Linked DNA regions of Coturnix japonica. The protein of the gene in region 1 interacts with the protein of each later gene in a pairwise test. Links are inferred from orthologs where the notes say so. Each region holds a gene or a part of one and is shown on either strand. Other genes may lie near its edges.

What was found.
Region 2: the proteins of BANP (region 1) and FHL5 interact in binary tests that used the Homo sapiens proteins (3 or more experiments, as listed by UniProt). The two-hybrid records come from large-scale screens. The link is inferred for Coturnix japonica from reciprocal best matches to the Homo sapiens genes BANP and FHL5.

The regions. Positions count from the first base shown.
Region 1 is NC_029526.1:16,146,858-16,153,075, reverse strand, and holds part of BANP (protein BANP), read right to left. Parts: intron 2,487-6,218; coding exon 2,343-2,486; intron 1-2,342. UniProt on the Homo sapiens protein: Controls V(D)J recombination during T-cell development by repressing T-cell receptor (TCR) beta enhancer function. Binds to scaffold/matrix attachment region beta (S/MARbeta), an ATC-rich DNA sequence located upstream of the TCR beta enhancer.
Region 2 is NC_029518.1:66,271,608-66,277,825, reverse strand, and holds part of FHL5 (four and a half LIM domains protein 5), read left to right. Parts: intron 1-14; exon of another isoform or gene 15-99; coding exon 100-270; intron 271-2,535; coding exon 2,536-2,710; intron 2,711-4,034; coding exon 4,035-4,204; intron 4,205-4,526; exon of another isoform or gene 4,527-4,874; intron 4,875-6,218. UniProt on the Homo sapiens protein: May be involved in the regulation of spermatogenesis. Stimulates CREM transcriptional activity in a phosphorylation-independent manner.

The DNA of each region.
Region 1 (6,218 bases):
AAGAAGCAGGGGTGGAAATTCAACCTGCGTTCCTCTCCTTTAGGGTTTGCCATGCAGCCACAGATTATTTATTTACATGAGAATACGGGAGGTTCAAAATCATAAAGCACTGCTTCTATGCGACGATTTGCCTGGGAGATTTTCTCTCTGCCTCTCTGATTTACAGCCAGTAATTGCACACCACTTCTGTCACCATTCCGCTCTAGAGGTAATTCAGCACTTATTTACACCTTTGGTAAAGTGGTGTCAATAGATCACTGTCAATAGATGAGTGTCAAAGCAGGGGATAATCCGAACATACTGCCTCAGTTGTTAGCAGGAAAGTCTTCAAGTGATGCAGGTTTTCTCTCCCAGTAGATGAAAACTTAATGGAATTTAAATAACTACCAAATAACAGAACGGTAACGCTGAATATTTACCCAAAGTTCAGACTAACATAGAAGGTTGCCCAAAAGGGAACAGAAGCACAGTTTAGGTTTGAAATCGCCTGCAAAAGAATGTTAGCACATTAATGGCTCATATTTATAGTTGTGCCATAAGGGAACTAAGAGCCTTTTGGAATACTTGGGATTCTTACTTCTACAGCCAATATGCAAATGCAAACTCATGCACTGCACTGAGAGCACTGAATTGAGGTGTGCAGCGCCATGCGCTTCAGCTGCAGACAGAGAAGGGACTCATTGCAAACAGCTCCCTGCCACCTTCAGGCACAGCTCTCAAGAACAGGAGGCCTTGCAGTCAGAATTCACACTTACGGTGTTATGAGCATGGAATTTGCACAGGGAATAGCATCCAACACAAGCAGATAATTAACTCCACTTTACAAAGCTTTGATTGATAAATGGATTCGAAGTCGTTGAGAACATCTCAGCACCTTGGCAAAGAAGCCCCATGGATACAACCATTGCTCCGGTCCCATTGAGAGACACCTCCATGACCTCTCCCTTTTGATGAAGACCTTTCTAAGTCTCTAGGATTGCTCCACAATATTAAGCCAAAAAAGCTCCAGCTACCCCCATAACTCCGCACAACGTCAAATTCCAAGTTGGTTTCTCCAATTCATTATCAGATCTTTGGTTTCCAGTTTGTGTAAACCGAGGAAATATTTATGGCAAACTTATTTTTAGTCTGTTTTTCCTTTCATACTTTTCTTATTTCGCATTCCTTTTCTGTTTCTCTTCAGCTCTGTATAAATCTGTGGTTAACCACAATATTAAAACCTAACACGGTGCAAAGTGTCCCTGAAGAGAAAAGTAGCTCCTCTGGTGGATGCCAGTCGTGTGGGAGACGGATGCTGATGTTTATAACCACAGCCTCCTACCATGGGAGGTGGGAGCCAAGGGGGGAGCACAGCCTCCAGGAGCAGCCCCAGCCTGTGGGTGCTGGATTTGAGATCTCCAAGGAGTGGAGTGAGGACAGCAGCATGGCAGGAGAGAAACACCTCTTGCTATCCAATACTTATATGCCTATTAGTTGCATGGGATGAGCAGTACTCTTGGTACTGCACAGCTTCAAGAAACAAGGCATGATCCATCAGCAACGCTCTTGTCGTCCAGCACACTATTACAAGTGACTGTGAATCGATGACTGAGGAGGCCTGAAAGCACAGAGACAAACCTAGGGAAGGAACGTGACTTCCTCCATTTCTTATGCAGCTCAAGAGATCCAACATCCAAATGTTTGCAGCCAGATCAGAACTCTCTGCAAAACTGGGTATCTACGTGACAAAATTCCCTTCTAAGATTGGTTGCTGAGGATAACATTATATCCTGGCTGGTAAGCCAATACATCTCTCACAAGCATTAGGGATTCTTTAGGAAAGGAGCCAACTCCAGTTGGGTTCATGGAACAACTGCTTCTTTTGTATGCCTGCACTGCCACCAGGCATGACTTTGGGCTGGTTCCAGCCTCAGCTACGTGACTCTTCAAACTGACCAAGGAAAGAAAGAAAACACACCTCCTCCACCTTAACTGAGCCCATCGAGTGTTCACTTACAATTGCATACATTGCAGCTCCTGTGGGAAATCCAGGCTGTGGATTAAAATAACTGGAAAACTTCTGTCAGAAAGAGAATAACTTTTTAAAGAGAAACCTCAGTCTGAAAAACACTTTTTGGATAGTTTCCGAGCCAGTTTTTCCTCCACGTCCTGTAAAAATGGCTCTCAGCCCTCAAGGATGCAGAAAAACAATGGTGACCAAAATAACTGTTCTCTGGGGGCAATGAGCAACAACGCCAAAGAAGGAATAGTCAATAACCACTATTTACCTTTAGGAAAATTATCTTAATAATTTGGCATATATATTTATATACACATATCTCTACACATATATGCAGGCATACTTGGCTGGTTGCAGAGTGGTCTGTCACAGGTGTGAGCTGCACATACTGGACTTGGATATCGCTGCCTTGCAGTGGGGATCCATCAACTCCTCCTGATGCAGGCTCGGCAGATGCAACAGCTATCAGCTGAGCACCCTGCAACACCTGCAAGCAGAGCAAAGGAGAAACAGCTTGTGAACAGGCACAGCCAGGAACGCATTAGGAAACATCGACCTGAAAACAGATGCAACAACCAAACATGATTCAACAGAAACTTGAGAAAATATGTACATCAGTAGCAGTTTAAATAATGTGGGTCCCAAGGAGGTGGTACACACATGGAAGATTCTCACATAAGATTCTCACTGCATTTTGCCTTATGAGACCTGTATTCCCTGGAAGGGTTAACGGGCACCACACCTGGAAAGGTTTGGCTCCCTTATGATCCTAAACACAAAGTAAGTCATCCCCTATCTGTATCAGCACTAGCAAAGGAATAAATCATCCTGGTGGCCTGTGCTAAATAGGTCCATTTTAATTCCAACTCATTCTAACAACAGTTAGCACACTAAGTCACCAGTCCAATTACCACGTCTATATTCTCTGAGTGCATCCAATTCCCTACCTGCAACCCAAGCAAAAGCAAGGCTTGTAGACTTAAGAAGCCAAAGAGAGGGAAAAACCAAAGCACTGATTATGCTGTATAGTTTGTAAGCATGAGATGGTCTGTTTCACAGCTTGCAGCTATGAAAACTGATCTGTTTATTCTGCCAGCCGGCAGATGAGCGCAGCAGCTCCATCAGCTCAGGTTCCTCATAGGATGAGCTCTGCAGCCACAGCACTGAACTGGGGGAATCTGCTTTAGAAACCCCTTCTACTTGGTTTTATGATGGCAGAAAGAGAGAGGGTGGAGGGAGGGGGTAACAAAAGGCAGACACTGAGTTCACTTCTAGCATCCTCACACCTTCAGGTTGAAGATCAGAGGGTAGAAGCCAGGTTTGCTGGGAGGAAAAAAAGGAACTTGTTCAGTTTTGCTTGCTTGCTGCTGTCTCTTTGCACGGAAATATTGCGCTCCCGTGGCTGGGAAACATTTCAAAAGAGGTTTTTTTGGCCAACTGCTTCCAACGAGAGATAGTGGCTTTCCTAAGGAGTGGGCTGTTACCGCCCTCATGATAAATGACACCTCCCTAAGCGCTGCAAAAGATAATTGATGAAGGGTTCATAATTCTGCTAATGATTATTGCAAAGGGTAAGTGGGACAGACAGAGCAGTCAGCGCTGCTGTAATGTCAATAGCACACAGCCACCCCCCAGCTAATGTGTTCACTGTTATATAAATAGAGAGACGGAGCCAAGATACTTATTCTCACAGCCAAACACATTCAACTTATGACAATTTGTTGCAGCAATGTTTATCTTCCCATTGTACACGAAGGTGTAGATTTACAAATTACTGCTAATTAATGCTCGCAGCCACTGACTCTACACATCTTCATGCTGGCTGGTTGAGGCTGGGTCCCCTGTTAGCCAAAGAGCAACAAAAGAGCAGATGCTTCACCCAAAATCGCTTGCTTAAATGCATCCCTGTGACGAGAGCGACTGTAATTTACTACTTAAGTACAACTCAGAATAAAATATACATATGTGAACAACAGCAAGTCCCCCGATCTCATTTCAAAATGCAGCCAAAATACACAAATTCCGTTTAGGTTTCTATATGCTGTGAGCGCTGTTTTGTTTTTAACTACCTCTGGTATTTGAACCACAGCGCTCAAAAGATGCCTTTCAAACAGAGGAAAGAGAACTGAGAGCAAAAATAACATTCTGAACAAAAGCTTCCCTTACCCAAGTATGATTTCCCAGCTGATGGGAGGGTGGGTGGCCGTGAAGGAGTGGGCAGCACAACCCCTCCCTGGGGAGTGTGGGAGGCCAAGAGGTGACCCCTAGGAAGGACCTTTGGGGTGTTGGCAGGGTTTTATGGGGATCTTGGGTGTTCCGAGATACGGTCAGCACTGAGCTGCAAAAGGATGCTGCGTTCTGTTTTTACAGGAGCAAGCAAAAGCCTCTTGTCCTGCACTATTTACTTTGGAACGACATGATACGCCCTGTCAGAACTACATGGCAGTCTGTCCTATTGATTATCCGCAGCTCTAAAATGCATCTTGTCTCATTAACTTCCAAAGCACAAACTTCAGGATGACTTCAAGCAACCAAACCAGCCCCTTTCATGCACACAAATTGCTTTGACAACAAAGAAGCCTACAGCTGCTAACAGCACCAGCTTCCCTGTCTTAGGATGTGTAAAAGGACAGAGTTCATACAGCAGATCCAAACGGATCCAAACAGACCCCCTCTAATCAGGGAGAGCAAGCTTACCAAGATAAAAGCCCCAGCCCTATGACTTCAATCTGCCTCATTTCATATTGTTTATATATTGTTTATATATAATATATTCGTATTCACATTCCATTGTGTTTGCCAATACCACAGGTTTTATAGGGAGGCTGCAAAAATGACAGATATCAAGGGATCAATGGCTTTAAGTAGAGCAGTGAAGGAGTGGTAAAACAGAGACCTCAGCAATAGGGGCAGGTGTGAGGATATGGCTTTTCTTTGGCTGCTCACTCGGCTCCCAGACCAACACATCGACTTTGTGATTCTTACCTGCCCTTGACCTTAAAATAAAGGAGTTGTACCACAAAAATTAACAGTCTGCCCTGAAAATGAACCTCTGAAATGAGCTCTGCTGGGCTCCTCTAACATCCTGCCTCGCTGCTCCAAAACAGGTAACAGAATATGGTTAAACCGAAAAATAATAAACTTTCCTTCTAACAGAAGGGATTAATTCGTGCTCTGGACACCCACAAACAAGCAGCTCAGAGGCAGCTTCCACTTGCCTTTACATACCCCTCTATGCAGATGCAAAGTGCTCTTCAAGCACTGTTGGTGGCCTGGCCTGATCTTCCCAACCTTCCCATCTCAATGATGATAACACTGCATGGTGAACCTGCTGTACAACCCACCTCAACTACAAAGCACCATAGAACCCCATCCTCCACCGTACCCAGCAGCTCTCAGAAGAAGAAAATGTTCCCTTACTCCTTCTGAAAGAACACTAAGCGTGTTTCTATTAGTTTTGATTTTCAACCATCCTAGAAATACCAGAAGGAAAAGTATTTTGCTCAGCTGTTTATAATGAAGTGTGAACTCCTGGCATTGCCCACTCACAGAACCGCAGCCTCTCTGACCAAACATCTGCTTTCCTTAGTGCTTCCAATGAGGCTCAAGAGCCAATGGATCTAATAAAACAACCTGAGAGATGGAGGCACCCCTTCCGTTCTCATAAAGCATATTGTGCCCATAGACATCACCCACCCCTCCTTACAGCAACACATGGGCTGGATGGGACCCGCAGAGCCCTGCAGCAGCATCCAGCTGTGTTCCCATTCACCCCAACCTTGGCCATCCTCCTGTTGGGTTCTTTTTGCTTCCTTCCCCCTCCGTTGTTTTTCTATCCTTCTCTTTTCAAAGTCTCGATGGATGGATGGAAACATAAAAGCATTGAGTTGGGAGGTCCCAGATTTCTATTTTTGGCCCCGTCTTCAGTGAGTTTGCCATGAAAAATGTGGTAATAATAAAATTAGTAGTAATAATGAAAACCAGCTATTTTCTCTGCTCTCCTCCTTTCCATTTTTGCCCATAACTAAGAGTTCCATTCAACATTCAACTGCCAGGGCAGGAAATAATAATAATAATGAAAAAAAAAAAAAAAAAAGATTAAAACATAATAGATTTTCCTTTGGTTTCTTCCAAAATTACTCCAGCACAATTTCCAACCATGGTTCAGTTCCTATCATCACATCCTCTGCTGATTTTACTTATCACAGAAAACGGTCCA
Region 2 (6,218 bases), on another chromosome or scaffold:
CCTAACTTCTATAGATAATGAACCATTGCTTATTATCTGCGCAAGAAAACTGTCATCAATTCAATTACATGATTTTTCCATCTTTCAAACCACCTGGAGAGCTCCACCAGAATGACCAGCAGTCATTCAGACTGCCATTACTGCCTGCAGTCTCTGCGTGGAAGGAAGTATGCATTAAAGGAAGAAAATGCTTACTGTGTTAGATGCTATGACAGCCTATTTGCCAACCCATGTGAGGAGTGCAAGCAACCTATTGAATGCGATTCCAAGGTAAGGATTTATCTTCCTTGTTTTTTGTTATTTGTTAGCCCCATTTCTTTAATAATGGACCCTATATCAGACCTTATGTGTACTGATGAAGGAACCTGAGCATAATGGTTGTGCACTTGTGCATAGCAGAGCTATTTTTCCAGAACAGGAAATCCAGATGAGGAAATCTGCTTGTACATGCACCTCAACTATCCTCTATAGATGTGGTATATGAACAGACCACATCTGGATTCCATCCCTCACTTCTGCTTGCTCAACAGCAGTAGAAGCTGCACAGAGCTTGAGGGACTTGAGGGGTTGCTCAAGTCCACTATATTTCAGTGGATTAAGTTGAGGGAAGTTTTGGAAGTTGAGAGATAGCCCCTGAAAAAATTGTCTGCAGCTATTCTGCAAGTTATTTCAACTGTAAGTGCTGACATACAGATATCAAGATGTAAAGAAACAATGTTTATAATATATTTATCTTTTACTTTTGGAAAAGAAGTATATTTTCATTTTAACTTAATTTCGTGCTCACCATGTTTACCTCAGATGAAATGTGACTGGCAGTGTTTCTGGGCTTGGCCTTCCACTTGTACTCTTTGATCTTTGACAGGGCTTCCAGCATCCTTTAACTCAATTTACAGCCTTTTGCACTTACAATTTTAAAAGACGAAACCTATCATAAACCTCTGATTTTGCTGAGTTTAGTTTGTACTGCTTGCTCACCTTCTCCCCATGCTCATTTTGATTATGTTCTTTTGAAATAAAAGAACCTATTGAATCTCACCACTAAACCATGTCCCTTCGTGCCACAATAAATGCTAGAACATAAAGTTATTAAAGTAAATCTCACAGGAGATTTCCCCAGCCAATATACTTTTGGCTCTCAAAGTATATTGTCTGAGTACAGCTCAGTTCCATGGAGGAGTAGTCAAAGGAAAAAACTGATATGAGTGATGACTGTTTGCAAATGCTCACCAGTGTTTTTTAGTTGCAAACTTGTATGCTCCAGTCACTGTCATCTGGAGAACATGTGATCTGAGCTCACTAACCCCACTTCTACAATTTAAACTTTAATAAGTGGCAGGACTAGTGAGATAAAAGGTCACTAAAATAAAAACTGTGTCTTTGGACTGAGTGGAAGGAAAAACAGAAAGAAAAAAGCAGGGGTAACAAGAAAGGAGTGTCACAGCTAAAGAAGTGACCTACAGAGCTATGCAGCAGGTTGTCCAACCTCTGCCAGGCTGTTGGAGCTTGGTTCTCTTCCTCTCCTTCTTATCCATTTCTTGTCTAGTGTGAGAGACCATTTTCTAAAAGGTTCAGAGTGCTAACTAAAGGAAATGAAAGTTCTCAGCACTCAGCAATGCCCCAAATGAACCCTGGTATGTATTTCATTTCTCATATTAGCATTTTAAGGAGTGGGGAACTGACAAAGTAGAAAAATGAGATTGGCTTTGTGCCTTTATGTACTTCTTACTTATAAAGAAGACCTGGAAAAATATGGTTAATTTTTTAAGGATTATTATTCTTCTGGTGATGCATTTTTCTCCTTGTATTTCCTAACCTTGGAAAAATAAAATCTGATGCTTGCTTTTTTATTATTATTTAATTATTAGTGGAGGCCTCATACTTATACTGCTGTTTCACCTCTTAAGCCTGCTGAGTCTTAAACAAATATATTTCTGCCAGATCTTTTAGAGGGAGTTATATTAGGTGTAAACAAAAGCAATGGTTTTTTAATATGTGTCCTAAGAACCATTTTGTTCTCTATTAATGAGATTTTAATTGCTTGTTCTCTGCAATAATATGATTGTTCTTTAGTGTTATGTAGAGTTATGCAGTGTTATGTAGAGTCAGCTGGAAGGAAAAGTAGTAACATTAAAAAATGCATGAAGTTCTACTTAAAAGTCTGTAGAGAATACACTTCTTGTCAGGAGGCCTCTGCACATTAAAAATGTTAATTACCCACTTCTCCTTGAAGGCCAACAGTAAAAAATATATGATGGGTCTTCCAATATAAACATCTCTCTGATGTTGTATGCTGAGGGACAATTGCCTCAATTGCCTGTGCCAAAGCAGTGCCTGTGCCTAATGGCCTAACAAGAGAGTTGCAAAATACCCTGACACAGTGACTTTGAGCACTAATATTGCCTTTGAGCTGGATGCAGCTCTTGAAGTTGACACTGCAGAGCTCTGCATTTTTCTCTTCAGTTCTGGGAGGAGATGAGGGAAAAGAACACTGTAAAGAAATGCCTTTGTTAACATGCACTCACTTTCTCCAAGGATCTAGCCTACAAAGGCCGCCACTGGCATGAGAGGTGCTTCAAGTGCACCAAATGCAGCCGCTCTCTGGTAGAGAAACCATTCGCTGCCAAGGATGAGCTCTTGCTCTGTACTGAATGCTACTCCAATGAATATTCATCAAAGTGTTTCCACTGCCAGAAGACCATTATGCCTGGTAAGACAACAGGGATCCTCCTGTGGAAAATGGAGCTGCATTTTCAATTAAAATCACATCCTCAAATAACCCAGCTACAATAGCGCAGCTTACTGGACTGCTGCTCCCTCCTACAGTACCCTGCCAGCAGGAAAGACAGGCCCTCTGGTCTAGCATTGGCAGGACTTATGAATCCTCATAAAGAATATTAGAGTTTAAAATAGAATAAAATGTGTTCATGCTGTGACCTTGATTCTGCCTGTAGTTCTTAGGAAGTGCATCCCACTGTGAGTATAGGTGGACAAACAGCAATCATCAGCAGGAGTGCTGAGATAAACAAGAGATCTGCATTTAGCCTGTCACGTTGGCAAGGCCTTCAGAACTAGAACTAGCTTACATTCTTTATAAACCACTTCTTTTGCACAGAAATACCTTACACTTCACTTGTCAAAACACTAAGTTCTGTGTTCAAATAATTATTAGTATTTTTACTACAAAACACATATGGATTTGTTTATAACAGGTTTGGCACCGTAAGTGCCAAAATGGAGTAGCTTGCCAAGGAGAGTCAGTACCAAACTATTGGAGCAGTGGACTACCCTAAATCCTTAAGCTTTTTTTACAGATGATTCAAATACCAGCAGCAAACTGTGTGCTGTGGCCTTGTGATTACTAGTTAGGACCATGAAAAATTATTGTCTTTTATATAAATACTAGGTTACTGGTATCCTAGTTCAGCCTGTAGCATTGAAAGCATGTACTTTTACACTTGTATTTCTTTTCTTCTTTGTCACAAGTAAGACATGCTAGTAGAAATTAACGTTGTAGTAATATAGTTGTGTTCATTGTAGGGTTGATACACTGCTTAAATGTGGTATATTGTTAGAATGTTGTCTAATAGAGAGGCAATAGTGCAATCAAAAGTGAAAGAAATTTCGTTTAAAGAAGATAAAATACATTAATATTTATACTAAACATCCAAACAAATTCATATTTAATTTATAGAAGTGCTATGTACCTGAACATCACATCATCACTGGGCTGTCTGGTCTGAGAGTAACTATGAGCAACTGGAGTGTATAACAGAGCAGTAACTCTAAAAGAGTAAAATAAGCATGGAATAAGAAAAAAATCACATTTTAGGCCACCTAGTGTGCCCTTTGCCAGTTGATCATAGAATACTGAATGAGTTTTTGAGATTAGCTAACATACTTAAAAACTATGAAATTGAAAGTAAGCGTTTTGGGGGATAATAAAATATTAAGACAGGAGATGAAAAATGAGACATTTAAAACCTTTTCTGCAAGACTGTACCTGGGAGCATTATTTGTGTTGGTTTTTGCAGGTTCCCGTAAAATGGAATTTAAGGGCACTTCCTGGCACGAATCCTGTTTTGTTTGTCAGTATTGCCAGCAACCACTGGGAACTAAACCACTGATCACCAAAGACAATGAGAATTACTGCGTGCCCTGTTTTGAGAAACAATTTGCTCATCATTGCTACTCTTGCAAAAAGGTAATTTCAAAAGAAAAACAAAAGGTAGCATACTACAATCTATGTTATTTTTGGTCAAGACCAGGTTGTCCAACAGCAAAAGTACACCAACAGAGACTCTTTCTACAGTCTATAATGTGCATGTTTAAAACAACCTCTGCAAATTCACAGTTTCATTCTCACCTGGAGATCTGAAATCTAGGTCTGCACCACACAATGGGTAAAAAAGAAAATATCAAAACATGTGAATTCTTAGATTAGCTCATTTCAAATATTCTGTAAAAGAACTGAAGATCAAAAAAAAAAAAAAAAAAGGGAGGGGGTTGAGAGGGAAGGGAATTACCTGTTGGAATTCTTGAAGACAAGTTGCACAGCTAACGAAGTTCAGACAGCATGCTTATATGCTTAGTATATTTTTAGTGCTTTACTCTAAACAAAACAGAAAAAGCAGGGAAAATGATCTTGAAATCAACAGAACCTCTTATCAACTACAAAAGCTTGTAATTGCTTTTAGCTCCTTTTCAGGAGCACCTGTGGGCTGTATAGTCTCTCTAATGGGTATTCATACCACCTGTTTTAAAGTATTTAATGTTGATGCTTCGATTGATGCCTGTCGTCTCTTTTTCAACAGTAGAGCACTCAAAGCATTTAGGAGAGCATCTGGGAGAACATAATGAACTTATGGTTCTCTGACATATTCCTGAGTTGTATGGATGAAGTTTGAAAGCTTTAATAATTAATGCCAGTTAACTTTCCTTATTCATGGAAATGTTGGTTGTAAGTTATGGAGATAAATACATCTAACTTCAGATACCAAAGAAAGATACTTATGCTCCTTAGTGAAGCAGTATTGCTCATGGAGGAAGGAGCAGCATCATGGAAAATGTTTGGTGAACTGATAGAAAAAGTCAAGTCTTCCCTTTGGCATTGATATTGGACACTGAAAGCTGACTGTGACATTGTTTGCTGTTCTCTTCCTTATAATTGATAAACAAGTTTATAGCAGCCTGTTTATTATTATATTTGTCATAAGTTTGTTCACCAAAGCAAATATAGTGGGGTTATTTTGTTAATGGTTGTGATTTTTAACAAAGTTCAATAATTATAATCAGTACTATTTAGTTGTGGTAATACAAGTCAAGTTTCCCAATATTTTAGAACACAGAGTTTCTTCTTTGGGTACCAGAAAGCTTGATTTCAAATGAGTTGATCTTTCTTCTTCCAAATACAAATAAATCATTTTATCTCTCCCTCAATTTCTCCTGTTTTAAAATTGTCTCAAGTTGATGAAAACACCCAATAATCTGATTCTGTTCTCTAGGGAATTGATTTAAGCTGCTTTTTATGACAAAATTTTGTTTATACTTTTGTATCTCATTCATTCATTCATTCATTCATTCATTCATTCATTCATTCATTCATTCACTCTCATACATATGTCTTGGCAGTAGAAATACCACCTTACATCTCATTTCATTTCTAGAAAAATTCCTTTATACAATCGCTGATAACTTCAGTGAAACCTACTCTTGATCGCACTTATAAAAGCCACAGAGCAGCTGGAAATTTCCCCCTTCAGATATAACCAATAGAGAGCTTTGAGTGAGTTGCAGGGAATGATAAATTTGATGACACTGACAAACACAAGTTTTATTTTCTTCTGACAGTGTAGAGCTCCTTTCTGTCCTATTTCTGCTTCTTTTCTGCCTCCTACATAAAATACTGTTTGAGTTTCAAGACAGCAGAATATCAATTCCATTTGGAGATTAACCCTCAACTCATTATCAGTTCTACCAGCCACTCTCCATCACTGAGAACTGTATGAGTATGAAGAATATGCCTGATGCTGCTCAGCCTTCACCCAAAGTTTCATAACAAGACAACCTGTTATATTATAAGCTGTAAGGTTTGTACACTGGTGTGTTCAGATCAGCTGCAGTGAGTCAAATTGAGATGACGCTGTCTCTCTTACGCATATTGTAAGGGAAAAAAACAAGTGGAAGGACTTGTGAAATACTTGATAATCCTTCATGAT